Caenorhabditis elegans: one gene and its partners. The protein of the gene in region 3 interacts with the protein of the main gene of each other region in a pairwise test. Each region holds a gene or a part of one and is shown on either strand. Other genes may lie near its edges. The genes, in order: myo-2, cyc-2.1 and itr-1.

Region 1 (3,758 bases), on a different chromosome or scaffold from region 3:
TTTAAAATCATTGTCATAGGCAAAAAGTGAAGAGTCGATGGGGATGAGTAGGTAAACTTTAAACCCCGCCGCTAAATCCACTCTATATGCCTGTCCCGCTCATCCCACGCTCTCATGAGATCTTAAGTAAATAGAAGGAAAGTTTCCAAGAATCCAAAAATCTACTGCTTCCCGTTTCTAACTTACCATCTGTGCCATCTGGCTCGGCCTGCTCTTCACGTGGACGTTGCTTGAACTTCATGTTACCCATGTGCATCATGGCGGCAACCAATCGGTAGCACTCCATCTTTTCAGTTGGGGTAAACTTGAGGATATCAAAGGCCTCATCGGTCAACTGATGCTCTTCCTACAAGAAAACAATATCTGCATTTCGTCATGTTTTGATCAGTATTACCTTGTCATTGATACCATCAATGATCAACTCAGCTTGAGCGATGAACCAGTAGTCCTTGACTGGCTTGTTAAGAAGGAGGTCCTTTTTAAGGTTTGGCAAGTAATCGGAGAAGACTTGGTAGAAAATGTGGTAACAACGCTCTCCTGGAGCTTGACGGATCACACGTGACTTTTCAAGAAGATCTGGAAAATTTTTAAATATATACAGGTCAAACATTCGAAATGATTTCAAACTTACAATGTTCAATATCGCAAGAAGCGACACGTCCTTGCTTGGAGAAGTGAATACGGATGAACTTTCCGAAACGGGAGGAGTTATTGTTACGGACAGTCTTGGCATTACCGAAAGCCTCGAGAACTGGATTGGTTTGGACAATCTGGTCCTCAAGTGTGACTTTCTTCTTGTTCTTGTCTTCTTCGGTGGCGGCCTTCTTGGCTCCGAAGGTCTCTTGTTGAGCAGCACCGACAGCGGCAAAGTAAGAGATAACCTTTTTTGTGTTCTCAGTCTTTCCTGCACCAGATTCTCCGGTAATGAGCATAGACTGGTTTTCGTGGTTTTGAAGCATGTTTCTGTAGGCTTCGTCAGAGACGGCGAACAAGTGAGGTGGCATTTCGGTACGGCGCTTGCCCATGAACATGCGGGCAACGGAATCGGTATAAATTGGGAGACGTTTGTATGGGTTGATGACAACACAGAAAAGACCCGAATAAGTCTAAAAGAAAATATGTTAAATCATAAAACTATAACAACAAAGTTCTTACATAGATGAGCATAGCAGCATAACGAGCTTTCAAGTTGTACAATACGGAAGCATCGTTAAGGAAAGTCAGGTTAGACATGTCTTCGGTTTTCTCGAATTTTGGTGGATTCATCTCTTGGACAACATCCTTTTTGACAGTCTTCTACAGAAAAAAGCAACATAATAATTGACAAATAAGTGGTTTTAAAATTCACTTACCTCGGCTCCCTGTCCAATGGACACAGTTACATTATCTCCAGCGGTTTTAGTGATGACACCCTCAATGTATCCGTCTTCCGAATCTGGGATCCAGACGTTCTTCTTGGAGTCATATGCGCGGGATTGATCCTTTAAAAATGGAAGTAAAAAAGTGAAAATTTATAAAGATGATTTTTTTTTTTAAACTAAGCAAGCTTATAACATTCTTTAGACAAAAAAACCATGCTTTATAAAAGTACCTGGAGCATCTCCTCGCGACTGCGGCGAAGGTACTTCCATCCTGGGTCGTTTTCGTAATCCATTTCTGTGTCTGACGATCGAGGGTTAAAATGAAAAGTGGTGGAGAGAAGTCAACCGCTCGGTGGGATGCGCGAGCCTGGAGATAACTTTGATTTTCGGCGAGCCCTTCTTTTTCCCTGGGTGGGTGGATTGGGAGGCGGGGATATCCAATTGTAATTCTAGGTAGCTGAAAAGTGTCTGCACACTGTTCTCTAACCATCGACGCAGGAAAAGTCTCTTTCTCAAGTGCAAATAGCAAAAATCTTCTTTCTTCCCCCCCATCTTCCGAGCAAGGCGCCCCCACGGATAGTTGCTCGCTGGCGGTAGGGAGCGAAGAGAGCAGAGAACCTCAACGGGATAGTGGGGATACGAGAAAAGAAACGGCATTTTAGGTTAACTAAAGATAGTGAAGAAGCCGGCTCAATGCAGAGAGGCAGACATCCGACGGCAAACAACGAGAGAATTTTATCCAGAACAATGAGTACAGTGTGTGCGCGCAAAGTGCTCTTCCTGCCATTTTGCTACTCTTATCCACACAACCACTTTAGCGATTACCAACCTATCTTGAGACTTATCTTTATTTTCTCTTCTTTTGCCGACGAAACGGGAGAGAGGGGCAAAAAATGAAGAATCGGGGGCACTGATTAACACACTTACTTTTTTTTAGGCTGAAGCACACATTGCTGTTCGGGGTGTAAAGTTCAGCAGAATTCAAAGCAAAAGACCACCCGCATCGGTAGTCAATATTGATCTGGAAGATTATTAAAAATTGTCAGAGTGAGCCATATGCATATGAATTTAATTCATACATAACATTTATAAGACAGGAATAAATACCAAAGTGAAGTTATTATTTGGTCGATTATCACTTTAGCATAGTGAAAGTATCCCTCAATGTCTCTACTTGTAAACTCAGTTGATTTACAAACGTTGTTTTATTGATTATAAAATTAGTTTTATGGACATTTAAAGCAAAGGATACTACTCAGATATAAAATGTACGACGTTTTCAATACTTTTACATTTCATTTTTGTTCTTGTAGCTTATGGGGATGTCACAATAAAACGTCCACAGCACAAAACCCACAATGTACAAGGTATAATTATGCTTATCAAAACTCGAATTGCAACCTGGTCAGGAGTAATTATTATTACAGACAGTTACTGTCCACCACCCCCAATTCAAATGCCTCGAGACATGTTCTAGTTTATGATTGATAACACACAACTTCCTTCTCTAAACCTCCGCACGCTATTCAATAATGATAACAGTGCCCATATACAAGTTGCTCCATTTTCTCGTACACTATACACAACACAATTATTCTGCGTCTTCAATTCTATCAAAACAAAATCGATTGGCCTAATCGGTTTCCTTTTCTCCATAATCCATAATGATTTCTGAACGAGCACCACTACTTGAAAATGGGTTAGTTTTGTGATGTAGTTGATGTTCGTTTATATCAGAGTTGTGATTTCCTGTGCTTCTATGACGTATTACCAAAGAAAAAACATGAGATCTTTTTGTATTACAGAGTTCCTCACATTTATAATACAGACGAAGGTAGAAAAACCACAGTCACCTATGATAACTTTCATTGCCACGATGAAGCTGACTCAACAGATTCACATGATAGCAATCGGAGAGGTATTGCTTTTAAAATTTCTGCCAAACTCGAGTCCTAATGAAACCTTCTTCAAACTATTTGTTTCAGCAACGCGAATTTTATGGCTCACCGTCGTGCTCTGCCTATTTTTTATGGTTTGCGAAGTTATTGGTGGTGTTCTCGCGGGCTCACTCGCAATTGTCACAGATGCCGCACACTTGCTCACTGATTTTGCGTCAGTGCTCATTTCGCTGTTTTCTCTGTACATTGCAAGACGGCCACCATCGCAAAAAATGAGCTTTGGGTTTCATAGAGCCGGTGGGTAGTTGGAAGAATTGAGCGACATAGTTTGAAATGAATTTCAGAAGTTTTGGGAGCATTTTTCTCAGTTTTCCTTATTTGGATAGTCACTGGAGTATTAGTTGTTCTCGCAATTATGAGAATTGTCAGCGGAGATTATGAAGTAGAAGGAGGAATTATGGCTTTGACAGCCGCTCTTGGAGTGGTTGTAAACTTGGTG
Region 2 (3,204 bases), 2.9 Mb from region 3:
TTTGAAATTACAGAACTCCTTTAAAGGCGCATATTTATCTTTTCGCGTTTTACAAACAAAAGCGTGTCGAGACCAGGTACAGTATTTCTGGCGCAAAATTTTCCGTCTGCGTAGATCTTTAATTGTGTTACATTTTCTTGTGAATCAGATTCATCTTGCTGCCATCTAGATTTTGAAAATTCGTTCCATTGCTCTTCGCCATTCACAATTTCCACGTCACCATATTCCAAATCATCTAAATTCAAAAAAGCTCCGTAATTTGTTCGCGTTCAGCTAAAAAAAGCCCACCATTTTGCTTGGAGACGCAGAACAAACGAGAAGTTGGAAATATCGAATCAATCCGGTGCCGAACAACTGACGGATAACAAACCTCTGGAGTATCAGCCGAACAATAAGTTAAAAGAAAAATAAATCCAAGAAGATGCATGACAAAAAGCTCGTTCCGATTTCTTGGTGCATTGGTGCCCATTTTGGTTGCTATGGTAGCGGAAGAGTGTACACCTGCTGTGATGCGACTGTGGGGAAAAGGAAAACGAATTTAGGAAAATTATTTATTTTCCAAATTGACGTATATTCTTGCTACTAAAAATGAGAATGACACAAAATTAGTGCAATATATAAAAGTAAAACAATCGAAAGTGCCTAACTATGAAAAATTGCCGTAGCTAGGCGAGAACATTTAGGGGAATATTTAGAGGGACTTGGCGGATTCAACCTCGATGTACTTGATGAGATCTGCACGCTCGTCAGCCTTCTTGAGTCCAGCGAACACCATCTTGGTTCCTGGGATGTACTTCTTTGGGTTGAGGAGGTACTCGAAGAGGGTCTCGCGGGTCCAGACGACTCCCTATAATTTTTAATTTATAATAAACGTTAAGAAATAATTTATTAGTTGTACCTTGTTCTTGTTAGCAGCGGAATAGTCGAATCCAGACACAGTTCCTGATGTACGTCCGATAACTCCGTGGAGGGTTGGTCCGGTCTTTGTGGCGGTCGAGTCAACGACGTGGCACTGCAAGCATCTCTGCTTGTACACCTTCTTTCCCTTTTCGTAATCTCCAGCTGGGATATCGGACATGTTGAACCCTTAAAATACAGAAATTAGTGAAATATATACTAAAAGAGTCTAGCAGGAAGAAACCGCCACAGCAGCACTTGGGGAACCGCCCGTGATGCAATAGCGAGAAAGAAACGGGGGTTGTGCCATCTCTCGGGCGGCGAGGAGACGCAGAGACACAGAAAGGCCATAGAACAATCGGGCGGTCGCTCTCGGGAGTCTGGGTGAAATATCATTCAGCGAGGACATACTAAAATGACGCTGTTGAACTTTTTATCTATGATCTGAAAGGTTTTGCCCTTAAAATACAAAAAATAAAGTTTCTACGAGATTTACCGCATTTCTAACGCTTACAACTTACAAAATCTACAGTTATCCAGATTTTTATCAACTTATCTCAATTATTAAGAATTAATTTACCTTATCGAAATAGTGATATTGAACTTTAAGGAATGTAGTTACAGATCTAGTAGCGTAAGAACTGAATATAGAAGAGCAGATATCTATATTGCAAAAGAACAAATTTGAAAATATTGACAAAATTTACCAGTCACACAAGTCAGCTGGGCGGTCCGATGCCTTATGGATCATTGCAATGATCATCTAATAACATCAACAAGTGCTGCGCACGAGATAAAAACAGTAAACAAATAACAAGCTGAACAAACAGGATTCAAACCACACAAATTTAAAATGAAAAATTAAGAAAAAAATTTGTTTGCAACAATTTATTGTAACAAATAACAATAATCCGCAACTTAGGCGAAGTGGGTGTTTTGGCGAGCGGTTGTGAAGACGCTGAGGTTCTTTCTCTTGGTGACGCGATGTGGGAGTGGGAATCTGATCTTGGCGTCGTGGAACATCTTGATTCCGGCACGCTTGGTGTCTTCGGCCTTGACGGTTTGGACCTTGAGGATGTGGATGCGGTCAGCTTGGGCACGATGACGAGCTCCCATGTCACGGTAGCACTGGGTGACGGCTCCGGCAACGGTGGTGTCACGGTACTCACGGTACATGTTGTGGTGTCCGGTACGGGAATCGTACTTGAGCCAGACTCCGTAGTTCTTGACGGTTCCTGGGTTCTTCTCGAACACCTGAAAATTTTATTGTAAAATGGGTTATTATTATTATTTTCCACAAACCTGCTTGATCGAAAGGATCTCTCCGTTGGCCTTCTTCACACGACGGAGCATAGAGACGAAGTACCAGAAACGAGACTTGGCGATGACGTGGTTGGTGGCGAAGATTTGCATCTTCCAGATTGGAGTCACTGGCTCCTTCTCTGTTGGGATTTTGCGTCCGACGACGACGTACTCATTAAGAGTCTCTCCAAGAGCCTTGGTTGGCATGTTTTAACCCTGAAAAACAAAAATATGATGCAAGGAATGGGGAATGAACAATCTGATATAATAGCGAAAAACAATTTTAGGATAACGTTACAATTTTCTTTTAAAATGGAAAGGTAGATGGGAATTACCGAAAAAATATGAGTGCATATTGCAATATTTAAAAACTATGAAAAAACTGTTAAATTTTTGTAAAAATCAGAAAAAGAAAAGCGGAAAAAAGCTAAAAAATAGGATCAGGAAAACCCAAAATGAATTTCAACGCACAAAAGTGTATGCGGCAGTGCTAGTTTTGTTGCGTGTTCTATTACCGTATCCTTCATACACTCGCCGTCGATTTACGGGGAGCGGTGGAGCGCACTTACTCCTTAGATTTTTAAGCAATTTTTTTGTTAAAAAGATATAGAAATGTGATTTTAAATGTTTTATTTTAACTATAAAGTTATAATATTAATTTATTTGTACATATTCAGACTTTAATGGCTCTTGCACATGTTTCACGACGGGTTATCAGCAATCAAATACGATGCTTTGCTGCAGCGAATCAAGAGACGAGTTTAGTACATGTTGAAAAGCAATTCGAAGCTATAGAACCGGAGAAAAGAGATAAAGATGCATTCATGGCAGCGATAGGTTTGGATATCTGTCTAGTTTCAACGATTAATCTATGTTTTCAGCCACGTTCAAGGAAAAACGAGGTCGAACGCATGTCGAATTTATCAACACAGCTCTAAAATATGTCAAAGAATATGGGGTTCATAAGGATATCGATACTTATAAAGGACTCCTTGAAGTTTTTCC
Region 3 (3,758 bases):
TTTATGTGAATGAAGAATCAAAAGATTGTAAAATGTTTAGATATGATGAGCTACAGGGTCAAAGGTGATTTGATACACGATTTTCGAGCAGAAATGCTGACTTTTCGAAATCTCATTGTTGTTTAATCAATCACGGGATGTACGAAAGGGATCTTGGTTTTGGATTTTTGAAAATCAAAATATTACAGGAAAATATAATGCAAAACTAGTACAGACTGTGAAAATGTTTCTAACCTTGATTTCTGCTCCGTCCAACTGTGAAATTACATTGTGTGTCAATTTCAAAAACGGTACGTGATTTTTTAGTTCTGGTTTTTAAGTGAACTTTATGTATATGAGCTCTGAAAACAGGAAAATAAGGGAAAATTAATAAGGTAGTCAGAATGAAATATTGCAATTCGAACATAAGCATTTAGTTTGAAACAACCCGTATTTCCCTTATTAGTTTTGTAGCTTCTAGTTTGTCATGCACTGATTTTCCGACAGACCGGCTATACTCTGTGGGAATTTCCGCAAAAATTAAATTTAAAATTAATAGATGAGATGTGGTATGTAGTTTTAAAAAAGTCGATGGATTCAGAAAATGCTCAGAAAAATCCGCGCATTAATTTCCAAAACTATCACATTTCAGAAAAGTATCAAACATCATATTTTTGGAGTCCAATACTACTTCTTCATTTCTTTTTTTTTTTTCTTTTCCACTAGTTTTACAATAAAATATATTGTTTTGTCCTAATGAAGCACATTTCATTTTGTAATGTTTTTTAACTTTCTACTGTAGGATATTCTATTCCGTAATCGTACAAATCTTCTTTCTCTCCCAAATTTAGGCTGCGCCCTGTTTCAAAGCTCTGCTAATAGTACGCAAAACAAATGTATTCGCTAACTCTTTCGCTCATTTCGGTATAAGTGTCACTTGGAGATCTCTTCGTCTCTCGCAACCCGTATTTGTATTGTTTATCTTCCAAAATGGTAGTCGACTGCTCATATGAATTGAATTACTAGCGGGATATGAAAGAGACATGAGATTTATAAAAAGTAACTGAATATTTCAACTTTTGAAATTGAACTTGTATCATTTTCGAAACTAAAATGGAAAAACAGGAACGATATTACTTCATTTTTCCACTTAAAGATGGAGTAGCAAAATTTGGGTGATTGTTTTTAGAATCAAAATTGATCCTAAATACCTATTGAGACAACTTGAAAATGTCTCAAAAATTATTGTATTAGGTTAGTCATTCTCTAAAAGAAAACGGGCAACCCTTCAAGTATTAAATCATTTTGAGCTTGAAAAGAGAGAACATTGTTCATTAAAATTCATGTTTGGGCTCCTAAATCTACAAAAAATATCACATTTATATTTTCGGCAATTCTGATTTCCTGTAATCGACAATTTCAGCGATTGCCGAAATCGTCGAAAAGTCGATTACCGAACGGCAATTGCTGCATGCTATGTATCACACCGTTTCAGCGTTGTGTATCGTATTTGTTCAAAGATAATTTTCTTGTAAATCTCGATGTTATTGACTACTGCAGCTAATACATTTGAATTCCCATTAATTCCTTTAATTTGATAAGTGTGACTTGGTTCCCGTTGCCCACCATCTTTTGTTCCTTTCCTCCTATCTTCAAATCAAACGCATCTGGAATCTATTTTTTTCATTGTTGTCTGTCTACCGATGCCAACGATCTGACCTTTCTTAATTGGTATTCGCGCTCATTTTGACATTGTGTCAACTTCAACTATTTGCGCGGGTTTACCTGCAAAAAAGTAAACAAGAAAAATGGAGATGAAATGAAAGAATTTCCAATAGAAATTTGTTGTTGAAAACTCTCTGAACCATGAGACCGTCCAAGACGTTAACATCAAATCTTTTCAATTCAGAAACGTTTCCTCTTTTTCTCCTTTTGTGACACGTTTCCTCCGTTCTTTTTTGGAGAGTCACTATATTTTTAATACGATTTTGCTTTACAATTTCTTTTTTAAACTTTTATTGATTTTGTGCTTCTTATTTTCCATTTTTCATAAAAAGTATTCCAGAATGAATCCATCATATGGCCGGGTTCGTAAGAAAGTATCCATTATATCTATTCCAGAGTTCGTTCCCGAGCATTATGAATGTAAGTTTTTACATTAAAAAAAAACTTCTAAAATCTGCTTCAATTAACGATCTTATTTTTTTTCAAATTTTCACCGATAAACTTAAATCTAATTGATACGGTTAGCATTGATGAAATCACTGAAAAATGTACAGGAAACTCAGAACTTTCTCAGTTTCAATGTTTCTTTTTAACCTTAAAGGTTGAGTAGCGAACTATATTTATTGTTCTCAAAATTCAAAACCAACGTCTAAATAGTCTCAAATTGAGCCTAACTTATTTGGCCAACGCCCCAGAAAAAAAACCAACAAGAAACACTTAATAAAACCACCAAAATGTGTAAAATGGAAGTTAAAATTACCGGGCGCCATTTCACAGGATATGTTTTGTTATTGTTCGTGTTAAAAGTTGGTCCATAAAGTAGATTTGAATATAAAGCCAAACTTTTGAGAACCGGTTTTGATTTTGACTATGATGAAAGAGTTTTGAATTAAAAATATTTAAAAAAAAAACACTTTTTTTCAATTCTTCTAGAAAAAGTGCATTTATTGACTCACCGTTAGAGCATATCGATAAAACAATAGACAAATACAATCATATGGGACATCAACCAGCAAAACACTTTAAAACACATTTTTGTTCCCGGAGGTCTCTATTTTTTCTTGTCTTTCAAAAGAAAAGGGGCACCTGTAAGCGGCTTACGTACCGTCTTGGTTGTCTATTGATGTATGTGAGGCATATACATCTATTTCATGAATGTTTCAACAAACAAAATATATACCGATTGTTGTGTCTCTTTCTCTAATATTTTCCTGGTAAACGATATGCATAAATTTCTGTTTCTCTTTCCTCTTTCCACACATCTGTTCGTATTATTTTACAAAATGAACTTACAGATGTTTTTTTGTTGTCTCGTTGGCATCGTAACTAATCGAAAATGATTGATGTTCGAACACGAATATCATTATATTTATTGTCGTCTTCATCTTTTTGTCGAATAGTTTGTATCGTTGATTTCTAACATTAGACGTCATCGAATCGTTCATCAAATTGTCGACCTGATCAATTTCTTTTTCTCTCTATTTCTCTTTACACAACTTCAATCTCTGAACTGTAAATTCCAAATTCGATTAAAAAGGCTAGAGAGTTTGATCGTTCTGGTTTGTGACTGAATTATTTGATGAAAGATCTAGTACGATTAATATGTTCATTATCAAAAGCTAGATGATCATTATTTGCCATTTTAATTCAAAAGAGGAATGATCCAGAGACAATGCATGAAGGAAATGATAATTAACTTGAAAATTATTTGGTATAAACGCCTTAACAGGTTGTGAAAAATTTAGGAAAATACCGAAATCGACAATCATAATAAAACACTCCACAATTTTTGATTTGGTGAAATTTTGTAAATTGTAGATTTTTCAGAAAGTTTGGACTTTTTGAGTAATTTCGAGCATTGCTACAGATGTGAACCTCTAGAATATTTGAATAAAAATAATTTCAATTTTCATGAAATTCAAAATTTTATAAAAATTGTTAACAATTGCCGACTTCCAAAATAGGTGAAAAAATTAAGTAATTGTCACTGTTTCACTGTAAGTAAAAAACTTTGATAATTTTTTACAAAGCTCTGCTAACTATAAGATATCCGG

The links.
Region 1: the proteins of itr-1 (region 3) and myo-2 interact in a two-hybrid assay, tested with the Caenorhabditis elegans proteins (one study listed by BioGRID).
Region 2: the proteins of itr-1 (region 3) and cyc-2.1 interact in a two-hybrid assay, tested with the Caenorhabditis elegans proteins (one study listed by BioGRID).

The regions. Positions count from the first base shown.
Region 1 is NC_003284.9:12,466,045-12,469,802, reverse strand, and holds the start of myo-2 (Myosin-2), read right to left. Parts: upstream 1,743-3,758; 5' UTR 1,655-1,742; coding exon 1,592-1,654; intron 1,482-1,591; coding exon 1,353-1,481; intron 1,297-1,352; coding exon 1,156-1,296; intron 1,107-1,155; coding exon 632-1,106; intron 577-631; coding exon 395-576; intron 347-394; coding exon 187-346; intron 1-186. Other genes in the region: cdf-2 (Cation efflux protein cytoplasmic domain-containing protein), read left to right, coding at 3,026-3,060, 3,167-3,279, 3,347-3,556, 3,604-3,757.
Region 2 is NC_003282.8:4,747,364-4,750,567, forward strand, and holds cyc-2.1 (Cytochrome c 2.1), read right to left. Parts: upstream 1,087-3,204; 5' UTR 1,079-1,086; coding exon 899-1,078; intron 848-898; coding exon 692-847; 3' UTR 541-691; downstream 1-540. Other genes in the region: tctn-1 (Tectonic domain-containing protein), read right to left, coding at 132-235, 289-469; rpl-18A (Large ribosomal subunit protein eL20), read right to left, coding at 1,816-2,151, 2,200-2,406; Y17G9B.5 (Evolutionarily conserved signaling intermediate in Toll pathway, mitochondrial), read left to right, coding at 2,883-3,036, 3,081-3,204.
Region 3 is NC_003282.8:7,673,129-7,676,886, forward strand, and holds the start of itr-1 (Inositol 1,4,5-trisphosphate receptor itr-1), read left to right. Parts: upstream 1-2,045; coding exon 2,046-2,124; intron 2,125-3,403; exon of another isoform or gene 3,404-3,553; intron 3,554-3,758. UniProt on the Caenorhabditis elegans protein: Receptor for inositol 1,4,5-trisphosphate, a second messenger that regulates intracellular calcium homeostasis.